2 linked regions of the Ovis aries genome follow. The protein of the gene in region 1 interacts with the protein of each later gene in a pairwise test. Links are inferred from orthologs where the notes say so. Each region holds a gene or a part of one and is shown on either strand. Other genes may lie near its edges.

What was found.
Region 2: the proteins of CRY1 (region 1) and PER1 interact in binary tests that used the Homo sapiens proteins (3 or more experiments, as listed by UniProt). The link is inferred for Ovis aries from reciprocal best matches to the Homo sapiens genes CRY1 and PER1.

Annotation. Positions count from the first base shown.
Region 1 is NC_056056.1:175,959,683-175,970,842, forward strand, and holds the start of CRY1 (cryptochrome-1), read right to left. Parts: upstream 7,372-11,160; coding exon 7,214-7,371; intron 1-7,213.
Region 2 is NC_056064.1:27,593,196-27,603,192, forward strand, and holds the end of PER1 (period circadian protein homolog 1), read right to left. Parts: intron 9,969-9,997; coding exon 9,826-9,968; intron 9,458-9,825; coding exon 9,379-9,457; intron 9,303-9,378; coding exon 9,196-9,302; intron 9,032-9,195; coding exon 8,878-9,031; intron 8,792-8,877; coding exon 8,683-8,791; intron 8,592-8,682; coding exon 8,460-8,591; intron 8,255-8,459; coding exon 8,149-8,254; intron 8,058-8,148; coding exon 7,892-8,057; intron 7,806-7,891; coding exon 7,675-7,805; intron 7,478-7,674; coding exon 7,298-7,477; intron 6,691-7,297; coding exon 6,448-6,690; intron 5,612-6,447; coding exon 5,001-5,611; intron 4,556-5,000; coding exon 4,375-4,555; intron 4,176-4,374; coding exon 3,986-4,175; intron 3,656-3,985; coding exon 3,505-3,655; intron 3,107-3,504; coding exon 2,837-3,106; 3' UTR 2,240-2,836; downstream 1-2,239. UniProt on the Homo sapiens protein: Transcriptional repressor which forms a core component of the circadian clock.

The sequences.
Region 1 (11,160 bases):
TTTATGAAGAGAAAAGACTACCTCAAAATGATGAAAAGAGGGTAGAGACTACAGATTTAAGGAGCACTTAAGGGTTTCCCTGGTGGCTCAGAGGTTAAAGCGTCTGTCTGGAATGCAGGAGAGCCGGGTTTGATCCCTGGGTCGGGAAGATACCCTGGAGAAGGAAATGGCAACCCACTCCAGTACTCTTGCCTGGAGAATCCCATGGAGGGAGGAGCCTGGTGGGCTACAGTCCATGGGGTCACAAAGAGTCGGACACGACTGAATGAATTCACTTCTAAGGGTTGAAAAGAGAGAAACGGAAGTAAAGGAAGGTCGCTAACAACTCTGGCAGAAAAACAAACACAGGAGAGTCCTCTAACCAAAGCAGAAGGAAGAACAGGATGGTATGGTCAAATGCGTCAAAAATTTAAAAGTCCAGGAATGAAAAGTTTTAAAGTATCCCTTGAATGAAAGCAGTTTTGGTGGAGAAGATGGGGTAAAACCAAGTTTAGAGTGGGTTCAAGGTTGAGCAGGAGATAAAGATATGGAGTCAGCCAGTATTAGACCCATGTTTGTGTTAGACATTCTTGTTCAGGAAGTGTGGCTATAAAGGAATTGAGAAGTAAAGCTTCAGGAGAGGAATGTCAAGGGTAGATTTTGTTCCTGTTTGGTTTTTTGTTGTTATTTCTTTATCTCTTTGTAGAATTTGGTTTCAAGCATGTTTAAATGTTGTTTGGAAGCAACTTAAAAAGAGAACAGGGTTAAATAAAAGGTGAAACAGAATAATAAAAAATGAGCTTCATGATGTATACATATATCATATCATATTGTATATCTTAAACATACAGTTTCAAATTTGTCAATTATACTGAGTTGGCCAAAAAGTTCATTCAGGTACTTCTGCGTGTCAATAATATGGCTAAAAAATAAGACCGAAGTTTATAAAATAGAGTACACATAAAGAAATTGGGATTTTTAAGGCATTTACTTTTATACAATTTTTAAAGGTTACATTCCATTTACAATCATTACAAAATACTGGCTATTTTCTTCATGTTGTACAATACATCCTCACAGTGTACCTTACACTCAACAGTTGTTACCTCCTCCTCTCCCTTCCTACTAGTGAACACTACTTTGTTATCTGTATCTGTGATTCTGTTTATTTTTTGTTATATTCACTACTCCGTTGTATTTTTTAGATTCCATATATAACTGGTATCATACAGCATTTCTTTCTCTGTCTGACATTTCATTTACCCTCCAAGTCTATCTATGTTATTGCAAACACCAAATTTTCTAATGGCTGAATATTATTTAATTTTGTGTGTGTGTATATACACACCACATCTTCTTTATCCATTTTTATCTATTCAGATGCTGATGAACACTTAGGTTGCTTCCATATTTTGGCAATTGTAAACAATGTTGCTATGAGCACTAGATTCATGTAACTTTTCAAATTAGAAAATCCTAAAGACACTACCGGAAAACTGCTAGAGCTGATCAATGAATAGGATAAAAGTTGCAGGATACAAAATTCATGCGCAAAAATCTTTTGCGTTTTCATATACTAACAACAAAAGAGCAGAAAGAGAAATTAAGAAAGCAATCAAATTTACTATTGCATCAAAAAGAATAAAATACCTAGGACTAAACTGACTTAAGGGGGCAAAAGACATGTACTCCAAAAACTATAAGATGCTGATGAAAGAAATCAAAGATGACACCAACAGATGGAAAGATGTACTGTATTCTTGGGTTGAAAGAATCAACACTGTCAAAACAACTATATTACCCAAGGCTCTCTACAGATTCAGTGCAATCCCTATCAAATTACTAATAGCATTTATCACAGAACTAGAATAAAAATTTTTACATTTGTATGGAAACAAAAAGACCATGAAGTACATCTTTCCATCTGTTTGTGTCATCAAAACTATGTTGAATAAAGGTGGTGAGAGTGAACATACTTGTTTTGTTCCTAATCTTAGAGGAAAAGCAGCTTTTTACCACTGAGTATGCTAGAGGGACAGGGAGGCCTGACGTGCTGCAGTCCATGGGGTCGCAAAGAATCAGACAAGACTGGGCAACTGAACAACAGCAGCAACATGCTAGCTGTGAGTTTGTTATATACGGCCTTTAGTATGCTGAGGTATGTTCCTTCTATGCCCACTTTCTGGGGGATTTTATTATAAATGGATGTTGAATTTTATCAAAAGCCTTCTTCTGCGTCTTCTGATATGGTTTTTATTCTTCAATTTGTTGATGGGGTGTATCATACTGATTGATTTGTGGATATTGAAAAATCCATGCATCACTGAATAAATTCCGCTTGATCATGGCGTATGACCCTTTTAATGTTTTGTTGGATTCAGTTTAATAATCTTTTGTTGTTGATTTTTCCATCTATGTTCATCAGTGATATTGGCCTGTAATTGTCTTTTTTTTCTTTTTTTTTTTTCTTTTGTGGTGCCTTTTTCTGATTGGTATTAGGGTGATGGTGACTTCACAGAATGAGTGAAGCCATTCACACAATGAGTGAAGAAGTGTTTCTTCCAGATTTTTGGATTTGTTTCAGAAAGATAAGTGTTAACTCTTCTCTGAATGTTGGACAGAATTTGCCTGTGAAGCCATCTGGTCCTGGACTTTTGTTTATTGGGAGTTATTTAATCAACGACTGAATTTCAGTACTTATAACTTGTCTGCTTGTACTTTCTATTTCTTCCTGGTTCAGCCTTGGGAGATTCGCACCTTACTAAGAATTTGCTAATTTCTTCTAGGCTGTTCATTTTATTGGCATATAGTTGCTTGTAGTAATCTCTTACAGTCTTTTGTACTTTTGTGGGGTAATATATCCTTTTTCATTTCTAACTTTACTGATTTGAGCCCTCTCCCTTTTTTTCTTGATGAGTCTGGTTTGTTACTGTTTTGTCGCTCAGTCATGTCCGACTCTTTGCAACCCATGGATTGCACCACACCAGGCTTGCTCAAACTCATGTCCATTGAGTTGGTGATACCACCCAACCATCTCATCCTCTGTCACTCCCTTCTCCTCTAGCCCCCAATCTTTCCCAGCATCAGGGTCAGCTCTTCACATCATATAGCTAAAGTACTGAAGCTTCGGCTTCAGCATCAGTCCTTCTAATTAACAGTCAGGGTTGATTTCCTTTAGGATTGACTGCTTGATCTCCTTGCAGTCCAAGGGATTCTGAAGAGTCTTCTCCTGCACCACAGTTCAAAAGCATCAATTCTTCAGCACTCAGCCTTCTTTATGGTCCAAATCTCACACCTGTACATGACTACTGAAAGACCCATAGTTTTGACTATATGGACCTCTGTCAGCAAAGTGATGTCTCTGCTTTTTAATATACTGTGAATCTGGCTAAATGTTCATTAATTTTGTTTATCTTTTCAAAGAACTACCTTTTAGCTTCATTGATCTTTTTATTGTTTTCTTGGTCTCTATTTCATTTATTTCTGGTCTTTACGATTTTATTACTTCTGCGAACTTTGGGTTTTGCTTGTTCTTCTTTCAGTTGCCTTAGAAAGAACCCATTTTAAATGAAAATTACAGCAACATCAAAAGGTAATTTTGTTAATTTTCTTATGCAAAATAGATTTTTGAGATTTGTTTTTCTGTTAAATCCAAAAATCTAGGAAATTTTGTTAATTAAGGAAATAGTACAAAGGAAAGAAGACCAAAACCCACAAGACAGCCTGAATGCCAAGTTAAGGAGTTTGCACCTTATTCTATGGTCAATAAGTAAGGTAGCAAAGTTGTTTAAACATAAAACTATTGACTCCAGGATGTCATTTCATTAACAAACAGTAACTGAGTTACCACTATATGAAAGCACTGAATCTGATGCTGAGAGAAAAGTCTAAAACTCTGTCCCTCCTTTTTATATAGTCATCAGTGGAAGAAAGTCTGTCTCTACTCATTATTTACATCTTTACCTATCTATTATTCATCAAGGGCAATATTTAGTAGTAAAAAAAAAAATCCTTTTTAAAAGGAAAATATGAGATTCCTATCAGTTCAGTCCAGTCGCTCAGTTGTGTCCGACTCTTTGCAGCCCCATCGACTGCAGCATGCCAGGCCTCCCTGTCCATCACCAACTCCCAGAGTTTACCCAAACTCGTGTCCATTGAGTCGGTGATGCCATTCAACTGTCTCATCCTCTGTCATCCCCTTCTCCTCCCGCCTTCAATCTTTCCCAGCATCAGGGTCTTTTCCAATGAGTCAGTTCTTCACATCAGATGGCCAAAGTATTGGAGTTTCAACTTCAGCATCAGTCCTTCCAATGAATATTCAGGACTGATTTCCTTTAGGATGGACTGGCTGGATCTCCTTGTTATTCAAGGGATTCCTATACTTATCAGTTTTAGTCTTAAAATGCTAAAACTGTAGGCATTTAAGTAGATACTATTTACCTAGGACTTTCAATTTAAGAGCAAACAGCAAATAAGCACTTCCTAGTATGACTTAGTAGTAGCAGTAGTAGCACCACTCACATTTTAAGCATTTCACATCTTTTAACTAATTTAATTCTCCTAACAATATTATGAAGAGAGACTTATTACTATATTATTGTTAAGATATGAATAGATTAGAATATATAACATGCATTATCTTTTTCCAGAATCAATGACACCAATTCTGCTAATGAAAATGTTTTATATACAGTTGCTGTATTATTCTCATGAGCACACAAATATCCTGTAATTTCTCTCATCTTTAAAAAAAAAAAAATCTTCTCTTGAGTTCACCTTCTTCTACACCATTTCTCTGATTCCCCCCCAATGGAAAACTTAAAAGAGCTATCTATGTGAGTTATCCCCACCTTCTCTCCTCTCAGCCTCTCTCAAGCCAGTCCAAAAAGGCTTTTGCCCCTGACACTACTGAAACCACTTTAATCAAGATTATGATCTCAAAATGCTAAATATGATTCTTAATTTTCAGTCCTCATCTCACACGACGAGCAACCTGACAAAGGTCAAACATTTTCTTTGAGCCACTGTCCTTTTTTCCTTGGCTTCTATGACACCATTATCTTCAGGTTTTCTTAGCTTACCAGATGTTCTTTCTCAAACTCCTATGCTACTTCTTCCACACGTCCACAATTTAAATACATTCAAGTACCCAGGCTCAGTTCTTTTCTATCTGTATAAATTCACATAATGTTTTCATATAGTCTCACAGCTCTACTAGAATGTATCTTCAACACTGCAGAGATATTTTAGCTATTCTGTTTAATGTCCTGCACCTAAAAGTGTCTAGCACATAGTAGATCCATACAATATATTTGGTCAATATATGAATGGATTAATAGTTTTAAATGTTATCTATAAAGTGATGAATCTCTAATTTATACCTCCTGCCAGGATCTCTAACCTTAACTCTAGACATATCTATCTGCTATCTCCACTTGGATGCATAATAAACATCTCATACTAACCAAGTTCAAAAGAAAACTCAAAGCACCCTCTCAATGGCTTCTTCAACTGACCACTTAGTAAAGATCAGTTCCACCCTTCTAGATTCTCAAATCAAATTTTGAAATTATTCCTAATTCCTTTTCTCTCACACCACATCTGTCAATAAATACTGTGAATTCTGCCTTCAAAATACACTCAGCACTTGACTTCTTCTCCCTATGTCCACCACAATCACTATGGTCCAAGTTATTATCATATCTCACCTGGATTAATGCAATTGACTCCTAACCTGTCTTATTGCTTCTTGTCCACCTCCACCCCACAATTTGGGTCTGTTCTCAGAACCACGGCCAGAGAAGTTTAAAAAAAAAAAAAACACACCTTCAGTCAAATCACATCACTTTTCTGCTCATAATCTTAGAATTATTCCTATTTTCATCTAAGTAAAGGCCCAAATCTTGACAACTGCCTATAAAGCTCTACTCAGTCTGGCCCTATTACATCTCTGACCTCATACACTACTATTCCTCTCACTCTGTTCCAGTCACATTGGCTTCTTCTGCTGTTCCTTCCAAAGGTTAAGCATATTCCACCTCAGGCCCTTTTTCTTAGTTCTTTCTCCCTGGAATGCTTTTCCCTAGATATCTGTAATCTACTTGTTTCATCATCTTGCTCAACTGTCCCTTTCTCTGAGTTTTTCCCTATCACCATATTTTAAACTCCCAATTCCAATCCCACTCCCTTGTACACATAAAAGCTGTATTTCCGCACATCATTTATCATCTACTACATTACTACATACTTTCTGGGACATGTGCTAGAAAAGGACAAGAATTTCTATTTGTTTCATTCACTACTGTATCCCTGGTGTTTAAAGCTGTGGCTGTAAGTGATTGTGAGTGAAATCGCTCAGTCGTGTCAGACTCTTTGAGACCCCAAAGACTATACAGTCCATGGATTTCTCCGGGCCATTATACTGGAGTGCGTAGCCTTTCCCCTTGCCAGGGGATCTTCCCAATCCAGGGATAGAACCCAGGTCTCCCGCTTTGCAGGGGGATTTTTTTTTTACCAGCTGAGCCACAAGGGAAGCCCTGGTATACAGCAGGTGATCAATACTCTGCTGAAAGAATGCTTTCATTTCCACCACGGGGCCTAATAATCATCTGGCCTGGCATGTCAGGAAAAGATCATAAAGCTTCTCTAAGATTTCTTCCAGTGCTCTAAATCCTGGAAGGATTATACTTTGCCTAGAAAGAAAAACTGTGCTTTGTCTATTCAACCACAAGGAGGAGTTGAGAGGAAGAACTGAGCAAAGAAATGTCCCTTGCTTTTCCTCTGGCAACCTCAAGGTGGAAGAAAACTAGATTTGGAGGGGACTCTACTGAATGAATGATTTTCTCCATACTATGAGTTAACACACAAACGTAAACACTAAAGACCGCAACCCCAAATGCCACAGAGGCCAAGGAAATCAACACACGGGCCATTGAGAACTGGAAGGGTGTTTCTTTAACTCCACCACTAAGAATTCTCCATAAATCCAGGGGAAGAATTCCTACGAGCGCAGAGACACGTAACTCACACCTGAAGGCCAAGGTGTTTCAGGCTGCCGGAACTCTCTCGCCTCAAGGCTATTAAGTCCGTTCTATTTAATACTTAAAGCACCTGCAATAATTCAAACAGTACGGGCAAGGCGGTGCAAGATTTCAATTCTCAGGTCTGGCTGATGGCATGTAAAGTCTTGATTCATTAAACAGCGAAATCAATTTCCCACAGGATTTTGACTCACCGCCACCTGTTGATCCCCACGTTGGAGGAGCCGGCGAACCAGGGGTCGAGGATGTAGACGCAGCGGATGGTGTCGGCGCCCTGGATGCACTCCTTCAGGGCGGGGTTGTCGTGAAGCCGGAGCCCCTTTCGGAACCAGTGCACGGCGTTCACCCCCATCCCGGGGGCTGGGGGCGGGGGGGGGGGCGTGCCGCGGTGCGGCGCCGCCGAGCTCCTCCGCCGAGAAATTCAGGGTGGGAGGGTCCGGCTCATAACCGACAACTCCGAACGCAGGAGAATCGCCGCACCCAAGGAGTGAGGAAAGCAGAGGAGGGGAAGGAAAAGATGAGTCCGAGGAAGGGACTGAAGAGGGAGAGGGCGCTGGCGGCGCAGCTGGAAGATGAATGGAGGTTGCCCAGTCAGCGGAGTCCCGGTGTGACGCCCTTTAGGGGCCGGCACCCGCCGCCACAGACTGGAAAAGACGCATAACTTCGAGGTCCCCGGACCTCTGGAGGCTGACCAAGTTCCACAAGCCCGAGACTCCACCACGGCCCGCGCGGGCGCGGGCAGCCCCAAGAGGTTCTCTGCACGGAAACCTCGCCCACCGAGGCGGCCCCCGAGGAGCAGACGGCCCCGCCTGAGGCGAGCCACCGACAAGGATGAGAGAGAATTCAGTCACTGTCGGCCACGCTGCCTCTCGGCCCGGGTAAGAGAAGTGAGGACAGAGCACGCAAGGCGGTGGTCGAGGCCGCTGGACCGCTGCCGGCCGGTGACCCGTCCCGAGGCTGCCCGGGTGACTCCGCCGCCACCGCCGCGTCAGCGGCTTCAGCCCCGCCTTCGGCTCCTCATTGGAGGGCGCACTCCTCACGTGACCACCGGCACCTCACGTTTCTGAAGTGTGTTTACTACAGCGGCTCCGACTGGGGTATCAGCTTGCACTTCAGTCGCTTCTAGGAGGCGGCAGCTGCTCCATGTCAAATCCATCGGTCCTCTCCCAGACGCTAGACACTTTGCCTCTGTCCCTTTTCTCGGCCAACAAATCGCGGTTGCCTGAAAGCGCCCAGAGTGAGCCGAGGCCCCATGTGAGGGAAAATTTAGCCCCGCCCTCGGGGGCTGTGAACGTCCACCATTGGCTGAGACTCGCTGAGACCCGGATGAGCACGGGGCTGCGGGGAGCTAGAGAGCTCGCGCTCTGCCCGTGAGGGCGCGCGTGCGCTCTCGCTGCGTTTCGGAGTCAAGGAGGGCGGGGCCGGCGATCCGGAGCCCGCTAGGGGATTCCTCCCGCGGAGTTCGCGGAAGGCGTGGAGACATCGCGGTGTCTTCCAGGAGTCGGAACGAGGATCCGGCGGGGAATGAGTGAGGGCAGGATGGAGTGGAAAGAGCAGAGTAGGAGGCTCCACATCGACTTAGAGCCCAAAACATGTGTTTCCATCCAGCTTTAGCTGGAGAACCCAACCCTACTTTGGAGTGTATAGAGCTGGCTCCCTTCTCATTCTTGTGCCCCTAGCGTTACTGGATCCTTGTATGAGCTCTGGGGAAGAGGATTAATTCGGAGGGTGGTGCCAGGCATCCCTGGAACTCCTTAATAGTATCTCTGTGTTGTCAACATGTCAGCCTTCCTTTCTTACACCTAGTGCGGTTTACAGGGCTCTTTGCGATGGGACTTTGCCTACCCCTCTAAGGACAATGAACTTCAGGCCTTGCTGTTCCTTGATTTAGTCACTAAGTCGTGTCCAACTTTTGCGACCCCATGGACTGTAGCCTGCCAGGCTCCTCTGTACATGGGATTCTCCAGACAAGGAGTGGGTTGCCGTTTCCTTCTCCAGGGGATCTTTCCCACGCAGGAATCGAACCTGGGTCTTTTGCATTGCAGGCAGGTTATTTAGGGACTGAACTACAAGGGAATCGCTGTTCCTTAGGCATGCAATAACTTTAAGTTCATTCAACAATCACTTATTGAATGAAACTGGCACTATTTAAAGTACTGGAGGTACACAGAGAGAGGAAGAGAAAAGCCCTCTTGAAGTTCACGATGTGTCTCCTAACCTTTATATGTGCTGTTTTTCGCTCTGTAAATGCTGTTTAGAATCTGCCGCTCACTACAACACCTTTGAGCTAGGGAATATATTTCGACACAGTCAAATGTTTATTGAATGAAAGAGTGAATGAATTAATTGTTTGTCACCAGTGTGTTTCACAAGGCTAGAAGGAGGAAAGATATGGCAATTATTACAAACCAAGTTGTGTACCTCTAAAAGTCATGTAACCCCTAGTACCTGTGAATTTGACCTGACTTGGAAATAAGATCGTTGCAGATGATGAAATTAAGATGAGGTCATTCGGGGACCAAATCCAATGACTAGTGTCCTTATAAAAGGGGAAATTTGGGTGCAGACAGCAGTCTCATACTCAGGAGAGAAGGCCTTATGGAAATTGGACTTCAGTTCAGTCAGTTCAGTCGCTCAATCGTGTCCGACTCTTTGCGACCCCATGAATCGCAGCACACCAGGCCTCCCTGTCCATCACCAACTCCCAGAGCTTACTCAAACTCATGTCCATCAAGTCAGTGATGCCATCCAGCCATCTCATCCTCGGTCGTCCCCTTCTCCTCCTGCCCCCAGTCCCTCCCAGCATCAGAGTCTTTTCCAATGAGTCAACTCTTCACATGAGGTGGCCAAAGGACTGGAGTTTCAGCTTTAGCATCAGTCCTTCCAAAGAACACCCAGGACTGATCTCGTTTAGGATGGACTGGTTGGATCTCCTTGCAGTCCAAGGAACTCTTAAGAGTCTGCTCCAACACCACAGTTCAAAAGCATCAATTCTTCGACGCTCAGCTTTCTTCACAGTCCAACTCTCACATCCATACATGACCACTGGAAAAACCATAGCCTTGACTAGACGGACCTTAGTCGGCAAAGTAATGTCTCTGCTTTTGAATATGCTATCTAGGTTGGTCATAACTTTCCTTCCAAGGAGTAAGCGTCTTTTAATTCCATGGCTGCAATCACCATCTGCAGTGATTTTGGAGCCCCCCAAAATAAAGTCTGACACTGATTCCACTGTTTTCCCATCTATTTCCCATGAAGTAATGGGACCAGATGCCGTGATCTTAGTTTGGCTGCCATAAACTAAGGACCTACTCGAAACTAGGAGAGTAGCCTGGAACAGATCCTTCCCTAGTGTCTTCAGAGGGAGAATGGCCCTGCCAACGTTTTGATTTCAGACTTCCAGCCTCCAGAACTGTGAGACAATAAATTCCTGCTGTTTTAAGCCACTCATTTTGGGGTACATTGCCACTGCAGCTCTAGCAAACTAATACAGCAGCAAAATAAGTTTCATCGTTTAGTGAGCCAGTATGTCTGGATGTCTTTCCTAACCCTGCTTTCGTTGCCATAGGAAGGACATAGCATCCTCTCTTCAATTTGCTAAGAACATTGAAAATTATATAGTATGTGAAAGCCTGTTGTTCACTATGAAGCATTAAACAGTTATTTTTATGAGGGTGAGCCTTGATTAATTACCACTCCAAGGGGCCGATCGCTTTTGTAGAGGATGTGGCAGACAGAGCTGTGCCTTCACTTGGATTGTCTCATACTCCAGGGCCTAACATACTTTTAAAAATACAATGTTTCATGTTTCATTTTAGGCAGTTTGAAAATAAGCAGAGTATGTCTAAAGATATAAGTATTTTCAAGCAGCCAAATGAAACAGTGGAAGATAGAATATTGATTTGTGTGGAATTGGTTTATGTTTGCCAACTGTCCATTCAATAAAGATGGATCTTTTAAACAGACAGCTATATGTGGGTATGTGTGTAACTTTCATTTACACATGAAAGTAGTAAATTATGAAAATGTCAGTACTGTCAACCATGCATTCCTCAAAGAGTGTGGGGTTTTTATAGCATGGCATCTGGTCCCTTCTATTGTCATGGCAAATAGAAGAGGAAAAACTGGAAGCAGTGACATT
Region 2 (9,997 bases), on another chromosome or scaffold:
ATAGAGGAGCATGTATATTTTCAAATTATAGTTTTCTCCAGATAAATGCCCAGGATAGGGATCGTAGGATCATGTGATAACTCTATTTTTAGTTTTTAAAGGAGGCTTTATACTCTTCTCCATAGTGGCTGTACCAATTGACATTTCCACCAGCAGTGTAGGAAGGTTACTTTTTCTTCACACTCCCTTCAGCATTTATTATTTGTCGACATTTTGTTGATGGCCATACTGACCAAAGTGAGGAGATACCTCATTATCATTTTGATTTGCATGTCTCTTAATAATTTGTGGTATTGAGCATTTTTTCATGTGCCTGTTGGTCATCTGTATGTCTTCTCTGGAGAAATGCCTGTTTAGATCTTCTACCCATTTTTTGCCTTTTTTTTTTCTAAATACTGAACCATATGAGCTATTTGTGTATTTTGGAAATCAGTCCCTTGTTGGTTGCATCCTTTGTAGATATTTGTCCTGTTCTGTAGGCTTTTTGTTTATGATTTCTTGTGCTGTGCAAAAGCTTTTAATTAGGTCCTAAAAAAATATAATTAGGTCCTATTTGTTTGTTTTTGTTTTTATTTCCATTACTCTAGGAGACGAATCCAAAAAGATATTGCTGCAATTATGTCAAAGAGTGTTCTGCCTATGTTTTCCTCTAGGAGTCTTAAAGTCTCTGTTCTTACATTTAGGTCTTTAATCTATTTTGAGTTTATTTTTATAGATGGTGTTAGAGAATGTTCTAATTTCATTATTTTACATGTAGCTGTCCAGTTTTCCCAGCACCACTTATTGAAGAGACTGTCTTTTTTTTTTTCCATTGTGTATTCTTGCCTCCTTTGTTGTAGATTAATTAACATAGCTGGGTGGGTTTATTTCTTAGCTTTCTATCCTGTTCCATTGATCTGTCTGTTGGTTTTTGTGCCAGTACCATATTGTTTTAATTACCGAATGCCTTTTTAACACAGGGACGTGGGAAGTAAAGCAGAAGGATGATGGGATTCCTGAAGAGTCGGAGGGTGAATGGATAAGGAAATGTGATATGATTCCTAATAGCACTGAGAAACCACGTGAGTTTGCAGTTACGAATTCAAATTGGCACTTAACAGGGTTTTTGCAGGACAGAACCTTTGGAGGAGAAGAAGCAGGAGTCTGAGGCCCGCAAGAGAGCACTCGCGGGCAGATCCTGGAATCCCCTAGAGGCTCAGAATAAAAGTGGAATCAGCACTAGAAAAATTAATTGCTTCCTTTCTGCCCCCAAAATTACTGACGCTGTGAGCAGGATTCGAACCTGCGCGGGGAGACCCCATTGGATTTCGAGTCCAACGCCTTAACCACTCGGCCATCACAGCCGCGTGCGGCCCTGGGCCTGCGCAACTATAGCTGCCTATCAACACTCCCGTCTGCAGCGAGTACCGCCCTGCTGGTGTGATATGCCACTGCGCATGCGCATGTGAGGCAACAGACGAGGCAGCTTTCCGGTCCTTCCTTCCTACCCCTAGACACCATGCAAAACGGGCCCAAATCTGAGTCAACATTCTCATATCCTTGTAGGTAGACAAAGGGAGGCTGCTAAACCATGGTTCATGAAAGCTGGAGTTGGCCTCCAAATTTGCACTAAAAGTGCACAGGAATGGAAATTCAAATGGTGAGGAACTGGCTAGATAAGAATAATCATCTTCGGTAAACTGCAGTAGAGACGGAGGGGGTAGGGGGGGTGTCTGGAAACACGTTCCCTTTGCAGCAATAATATACTACAGTCAACTACCCCAGGCACCGCTGGGATTCGAACCCAGGATCTCCTGTTTACTAGACAGGCGCTTTAACCAGCTAAGCCACGGCGCCGGTAAGGGGCTGGTTGCTTCTAGATATAGATCAGCTCTTCACGAAGGGGCACTAAACGAGAAATATATGGAACAAAGGTTGCTATCAATCTCCAATCACTTATCCTTTCCAAGTTTTCCCCCTTTCCAACTTCTGAGCCAGAGCATTAACACTCTGCACCAGCTTCCCCTCTCCCACACCGCTTCCCAACTAGACTATGAATGACTGTGGGACTCCGTGTCTTAGCCACCTAGACCTGCCTTCTCATTGGGAAAGGGTGTGGGGAGATTATATAGGTCATCAGGGGAGGCAATAACTCATTCTCACTACTACTTTCCGGGAAGGGGAGGGAAAGAGCCTCCCTCCTCTACCCCCCGGGGCCGGGGGCAACCCAGCCCTCAAACTTCATTTCACAAAGACCTGGTATTTTTTTCCTTTTTGTATTAAAAATAACAGACACGATATCAAAAACACAAATGCCATTGGTAGAGGGTACAGCTGAGAACACCTGGGTCCCACTTGAGGGGCAGCACCAGGGACTCCATGGTCCACCAACCTCCCCCACCCTGGAGCAGCTAGGGGTTTGGACCGCAGGGTCCTGCTTGGGCCTCACACCCTCCTCCTGCCCTCATCCGGGGAGGAGGTGGGGGAGAGGACTGACTCCCCCAATAAATAAATGCAGCCCCAATCCCCAGGGACAGGAACTCCAGCTCAGCTGGGACTTGGAGAGACCACTTCAGCAGCTTGTCAGCAATCTTGTCCAGGAAGAGGAATGACTCCTCACCGGGGATGTGATGGGAGGCTTCTCTGGGCTGGGCTGGGCTGAAGAATGCCACCCTATTCCCAAAGAGGCCAGAGGCAGCCCCTGGTCCTGGGCTGGTGACGGGGCCCCACCCCCCCACAGCAGGAGAAGCTGGGGCAGTTCTCTTATTGGTTGGTCCAGCCACATCTGAGTTCTGAGAGTTGGGGCATGAGAGAAGGAAGCTTCTCGTGCACATCTGGAGGTGGCCCAAGACGGAGTCTAGCTGGTGCCATTTTCTGTGGCAGGTAAGGCTGGACTGGGTGAGCTCCCACCTTGCTCCTCCTCTTCCATGGCCAGGTCCTGAGAGCTCGAGACCCTGGCCCCAGCTTGGGCCTGGGCCCCACTGCTGCCCTCACCCTCACCACCACCGCCACCACCCTCGCCTCCGCCCTCCTCCATGGGCTCCAGCCCCAGTCCATCCACTTCCGAGAAGAGAGGGTCATCAGGATGGCCAGGCTCTTGGGTGCTGCTACCGCAGTCCACACAGGCCTTGGAGGAAGAAAGGGTATGCGTGAGTCAGGCAGATTCTCAGTGCTGACCTGCCAACCCAGCTCCCCTTGTCCCCAAGCCCCAGAGTACTTTCCAAACTGTATGCCTAGGAAATACTGATTCAGGCGGATGCACGTGGGGTCAACAATATTGGAAAATGCATCGCATCCTGTCTCCAGACCCCACAGCAGGACAGCCACAATGTACATTAGTACAGTACTGGCCCAGAAAAGGTCCACAAAATTCACATGGTTTAACACTAAATAACCCAACAGCAAGCTCAGTGGAATTAACATCCTTCAGAATTAATGATCCAAGAACAGTGAAGGGATCAGCCCTCTGTCCTTTCAACTTGAGCTCAATTCCTTCTTCACCCTCCTAGCGTGGACTTCTCTCACCATCACATCAAGGGCCCGAGGGAGTTGACCTTTCCGGACCCAGGAGTGCACAGCACCCAGTTCCCTCCGCTGGTCCTCCGAGAACCGAGGCTGCTGCTTCTGCATGGCCCGGAGCCGCTCCCGGTCCTGCTTCAGCACAGAGGCCATGTCCCTGCTCCGGGAAGAAGTTCAGGAGGCAGAGAATGGGAGCTGGGGCCAGGGCCCACAAGGAGGACTGGCACTTTTCTTCTATCGCAGCGTCCCACTCTGTGCCTCATGCTTCTCCCCAGAAACGTGTTCTGAGAGTTCAGGCCTTCCCAAAACCAGGAAAGCTGCTCTCAGCCTGACTATTGCTGGGGCTCCAAGGGGCAGGAGACAGAACAGGAATGCCCCAGGGCAGAGCCAGGCCAAGAAAGAAAAACCCAAGTTAGCTAGGGAGTGAGGGGGGGCAGCCTCCCCATTCCTCTGAAGGGGAGGCAAGGAGTGCTCCCAAAGTCCTCACCTGGAGGGCACCTGATAAGTCATCATGACACGCTGGTCAGCATTGGCCATGAGCAGCCAGATGGGATCCTGGAGCACGTACTTAATGACCTGGTCCCCAGGCTCAGCCCTGGCCTGGGCAGCCCCAGCCTCAGCCTCTGAAGAATCGATGCTGCCAAAGTACTTGCTCGTGTGGCTGCTCTGACTGCTGCCTGTAGAGTGAGAAGCAGGCAGCCAACAGTCAGGCCAGCAGGTGCTCCACCAGGCCTCACTCAAGGTTGTAGGTCCAGCCCACTGGCCTTAGAAAGCAGGGCGTGGACCCAGGCTACTCAGCCAAGGTGCGGCCTGGCTTTCCAACTCCCTAGACACTGTCCTACCCTGGAAAGTATTGGGGGGGGGGGCGGCACTCACGCGTGATGCTGGCGGAAGTGCTGCCCCCCTCATGGGAGCCTGAACCAGAGCCCAAGCCGGAGGCCAAGGAGCCTGAGGCAGCAGAGCCCGTGCCAGATCGAGAGTCCTCTTGTAGCAGCAACTCCAGCAGGTCACTGGAGCCCGAGAGAGCGTCCTGGTTGGAGGACTCAGTTACCTCCGCCTGAAGGAGGGGAGGCAAGGGGGACAGGGAGGGATTAAGGAATCAACACCTAGGCTTCCCTTCTACTGCTGCCACTGGTTGGGGGCACACCCAGCCCAAGTGGTCTCTTCCCACTCCACGACAATGGGCTCAGGCTGAGTGAGAGGAGAACTGGCGAAGAGGAGGGATGTGACGCTGGACCCCTTCCAAGTGGCAGACGTACTCTCAGAAGTTTATGGGGATGTCCTCACCACCTGTCAGACAGACAGGACTGTCCCCACTTCACAGATGAGGCAGCTGATTTCTGCCTTGTTGAGAAACTCAGCTGGGGTCTCCCACCCCATGACCCCATCCTCTGGGGACAACCAGGAGGGCAGGAGGAAGCGTGAGAGGGGAGGACCAGGTGGTGAGAGCTGTGTGGGGGCCCTAAGAGGACGGGGGCGGGGGGAACCGGGTCAGAGCTCACCAGTCTGGCCTCTGGTTCCACCGTCTCCTCGCTGGGAGGGGGGGGCCCAGCACTGCTCCCAGAGCCCCCTGCCGCTGCACCCCCCTCACCACGAGGGGGCTCCTCAAGCTGCAGCAGGTTTAGCTGGAGTGGGGAGCTGCATCTTGAGTTGAAGAGCGGAGAGTTGGGGCGGTGGGGAGGGCTGGGGGGCAGCGGGGGCAGGGACGGAGATGGGGAGCGGGAGGCAGGGGTAGGAGACCCCTCGGCAGGCGTCTGGGGTGCCCCGTAGGGGTAGGTAGATGGGGTAGGGAACAGATAGTTAGGGAGCACCAAGGCCACCATGGGGGTCACCAGGGGGGCAGAGAAAGCTGCAGGAGGCACAGACGTGGGAGCAGGAGGGAGAGGCTGAGGGCTGCCTCTCGGGGGGAAGACAGGGAGAGGGTATGGCTGGACCACAGCTGGGAAGGGAGGAGTGGCTGGTGGTGGGGGCCAGGGGGCAGAGGGTGGCACAGGCGAGGGCTGGGAGATGTAGCTAGGGGCTTCGGCCCGAGCTGTCTGGTGGTGACGTGAGCGCTTGGCTTTGGATCGGCAGTGGTGGCGGCGGCCAGGGGTGGCAGGGCTGTGGTGGCAGCCTGAAGGGAGAAACGAGGGTTAGCAAGGCCCTCAGCCTGGTGGTTAGGCCCCTGCAGCCCCCACCGCCCTGCCACTCTGACCAGGGAGAGGGTAGGTGAAGGACCTCTGGCTCCCCGGCCCACACATAACAGAGGGAAGAATTCCTCAGGGAAGAATTACAGCGACAGGGGAGGATTTATGGACAGAGGAGCCAGAGAAAGGAAAGGTCACATAAGGGGTCATGCTGGGGGAGGGCAGGAGACAGAGGCATGCTGGCAGACAGGAGGAGGCAGGGTAGGCCCACGGACGGGTGGGCAGGTGGCTCCGACCCCTCGGCCAAACTCCAGCAGGCACTGCCAGCCGCGCCATGCTCTGCCTAGCGCATGACGGAGCGAAGAGGCGGGCAGGAAAGCCCAGTCCTGAGTCCTACGTCTGCCTTCAGGGAGCCTCCCACACGCACCTGGAGGGCAGCCAGCTGCCCTGAAGTGCTGATCCTCTGCCCCCTGAAGTTGCCCCGGTCCTCCCTGCCAGTCTACATAGACCTCCCAATCAGCAACAACAGAGTCCTGAGTCGGCACACTTCCTGCCCCTACACCAGGCCTGGAGCGGCTTACCGGAAGCTGAGCGCCTTGGCCTGCCTCTGAGTGCAGCTCCTCAGGCTGCCCTTCTCGGGCGGCAGCCCAGACCCCCACCCTAGTGGGGAGAGGCTGGCGAGGGGCCTGTCCCTGGGCAGGGCCCTGGTGGTAGAGGGAGCAACAGCCTGGGTCCCTGGAGCAGAAGCCTCTCCCTCAAGAACTCCCTCCCCCGACATTCTGGTCCTCGACTGGGCAGGCTCAGGGGTATCCCAGGTGGTTACCTCGCTCCCCAGGGGCCGAGGGGGCTGTGGAGGAGCTGTCCAATCCACGCAGCCTACTGAAGTCTCGGAAGCGGCTGAGGAAGGCCTGCTCCTCCTTCTGTGTGTGCAGGGACAGCACGGCCTTGGTCAGGCCCACTGGGCGGTAGGCGTCTGGGGCCGGATCAGGGGCTACTGTGGGGCTAGGGGCAGGGCTGGGAGCTGGACCGGGAGGCAAGGAGGGCAGGTCCTCCATCATGATGATGTCTGAGGAGGATGAGATGAGGCAAAGGTCAGAAGCACCTCACAATTAGCACACCTGCACCAACCCCTCCACGTCCAACAGCTTAGCCAAACCCCCGGCCTCCACCCTGCAGCCAAGCCTAGGCCTCCCCTGCAAATCCTGGCCACGTCCCCCCAAGGACCGGCTCTGGGGAGCTCCACGCAAAGGTGTCTCAGGGTAATAAGAAAGGACATTCGGTCCCCTCCAGGGGCCTTACCCAAGGATGACACCCCCATGACCCTCCTCGGAAGGGAAGCCCATCCCGACTCTTTCCTCACGCATTTTCCAGGTCAATACCCAAAGACCCTTCAAGGGTTTTACAACAGTGTTGCCTTCAGCCCCTCTGTGGGGAGCACCTTAGGTTGAACCCTGCACCCCAGACTTTGTGTGTGACAGTAAGAACACAGGAAGCAAGGTGGGGGACAGACGAGGCGGCGAAGGCTGGCGGGCGAGCAGAGAGTGAGAAACGCTAAGATGGAGGCTCCTTCTCTCCATTTGGGGCCAGAGGGCAGGAGAAGGCAAGGAAGGAGGTAGCTCTGGCTGAGGGACCAGATGGAGCCCTGTTTCTGCGCCCCTCAGCCACACCCGTACCCGACTCCGGGGGCTTCTTGTCTCCCACATGGACGATGGTGGAGCTGAAGCTACACTGACTGGTGACGGACACCACGCTCTCCGCCTTATTGGCCAGGGCGAGCGGGCTCAAGGCTCCTCCTCCCACCACCGGCTCCTTCAGAGGGGTGGCCCCCTCCCCAGGCAGCACTGCTGATGGATCTGTGCAGAGAGATGGTGCCAGTTACCACCCCGCCCCCCTGGGTGGCTGGGAAAGGAAAGCCTGGTGCGGAGGAGATGGATGGCACAGGGGAGGCTGGCAGGGGGACAGGACAGAGTGAGGTGGGGGCCCCAAAGACATGTAGAGGCACAGGGCCAGAGGACAGGGCGGCGGGAGCAGAGCAGGCCCGAGTCTTCACCTTTCTTGGCACCCACAGAGACTGGGCCTGCCCGCTGCTTGTCGTCGTCGGAGGCCGAAGAGGCAGTGCAGGAAGAGGAGGACGCACATTTGCGCTTTGCGGTGCCGGGGAGGTTGCAGCTCTCCAGGTACCTGAGGAGGCACCAGAGGACATGAGGGCAGGTCTAGGTGGAGCGGGGCCGTGGCCCCAGGCAGAGAAGGTGCCAGGATGGCCTGACCTGAGGATGCTGTCCAGGCAGTTGATCTGCTGGTAGGAGCAACTGGAGGCTTCTTTCCGCTCAGCCTCCTCGGCGGCCAAGGCCACTGGGGCCTGGATTGGAGCCAGGGCTGCCTCCAGCTCTGGGGACTGGCAGGGAAGGGTCTTGACCTTGAATGTGCCAGTAGCTGGACCAAGGAGAGAGAAACTCCTCTGGGTTAGGCTGAAGGTCTGGGGACCCCCAGGCCTCGCTCCCCACCCACACCCTCGCCGACTCACCAGGGACACGGGGCCGGGTCAGAGGCCGGGCCCGGGACTCAATAAAAAGCTGCTGCCCCTGATGCTTTACCAGGTGCACATCCTTACAGATCTGCTGGAAGGTCACCTGTGGGACAGGGCAGGGAGTGGGCAGCACTGGGGGGCCTGGCCAGCCTCGGGAGCCCAGAGCGTAGTACAAGAGAGGCCCCAGTGGGGAGGTCACGATGCAAGCAGAACAAGAAAGGAAAGGAGGTGGACGACGCTCCCCTGGGCTTGGCAGTGCTGACTCTTGAGGACAAGGGGACAGGACAGGGGACTCAAGGGCCACTCACCGGGGCAGGAGGCCCAGGTCCCTCGGCATCACCCCCGTTGCTGTCACTGGAGGAGCCAGGGCTGAGGAGAGGGCCAGAGGAAGGCACGGGGCCGACTCCACAGAGGCCCGTGGGGCTGGGGCTGTGCACAGGCTGAGGCAGGGAGAGTGACTATGGCTTAGATGGCCTGAGGCCTGCTCTGCCCCCTTTCTTGTCTCCCAAGCCCCCTCCCATCAACCCTCACCTGTAACAGCAACCGGTGGATCTGCTCCGAGAGCTCTTGGATGTCAGAGTCCAGGGACAGAGTGGGGCTGGGGGCCGGGGGAGTGAATACATCTTCATTCAGGGGCGCCCTGTGGGGTGCGGGAGGGGAGTTGAGCCCTGGCCCCTCCACGCTGGCCGGCCCTCCAGGGCATGATCCACTTATGTGCCCACTTACGTGCGTACTTTGTGGCGGCCCAACACAAAGGCCACCTTGCGGCTCCAGGGGTGCACGAAGCCAGCCCAGCTGGTGTCCATAGTGACATACTCCCCATTACGGGCACAGAAGCGAATAGGGGAGTGGTCAAAGGGCTGGCCAGCCAGCTGCAGGACTGAAGGCCATGGGAAACAAGGTGCAAGTCAGTGGGAGGGAGAGCTAAGTGAGGTGGAATCCCCCCAACCCCAAAATCAAGGCACTGAGAGACACAATCACAGGGGCAGCCCTAAGGAAGCCCTGTAGACAACTAGAAGTGCAATCAGGAAGAGAGAAACTCACTCTTCTTGTGGATGGCCAGCATGAGGGGTCGGTCCTCCGGATGCAGGAAGAGGAGCACTGGGGCCCCCAGGAGGTCCTGGGGGAGGTAGCCCAGCAGCGGGGCGGCCCTGAGAGGAGAGGGGGCGTCAGAGGGGCCAGAGCCTCGGCCCTGGCACCTCCTTTTCCTCCAGATCCTGACCTCACCTCTCATCCACATCCTGGAAGAGGCAGCTGGGCGTGTGCCGTGTGGTGAAGATCCTCTTGTCAGGGGGGATCCGGGGAGCTGAGGCACAGGAGGCGTGGCCATTGGATCTCAGGCAGAATGCTCCAGTTCCCGGGCCCTCCATGTGCTGCCTCAGGCCTAGGCTGGCTGGCAGATGATTCCCTCCACAGCTCTCCCCTGAGCCCCCTGGCCTCCAGAGACGGTCTGGACTATTTCTGTGCCCCACGCCAATAATGAAACTGAAAACCAAGGCACTTTTTTTTGCCTTCTCCTAGCTTGGAGTTCTTACCCAACTCGACCTCTAAAGGGGTGTTCAAACCCTCATCCTGTTTCAAAGTTGTCTCCCAGACTCCTGTTCTGCCTCACCCCCAGCCTAGAGGAGACACCCTTCCTCCTACCCCAACCAGGTCAGGCCTGGGGCTGCCCACCTTCATAACCAGAGTGAATGCGCTCTGCAATGAGCAGGCAGCATGGCTGGGCAGGGGCCCCATCGGAGACCCGGATCTTGGTCACATATGGGGTTAGGCGGAATGGCTGGTACCGAGGCCCCGGATCCCGGTCAGGACCCCCTCTAGCAAGGAAGAGAAAGGGGCATTAGAG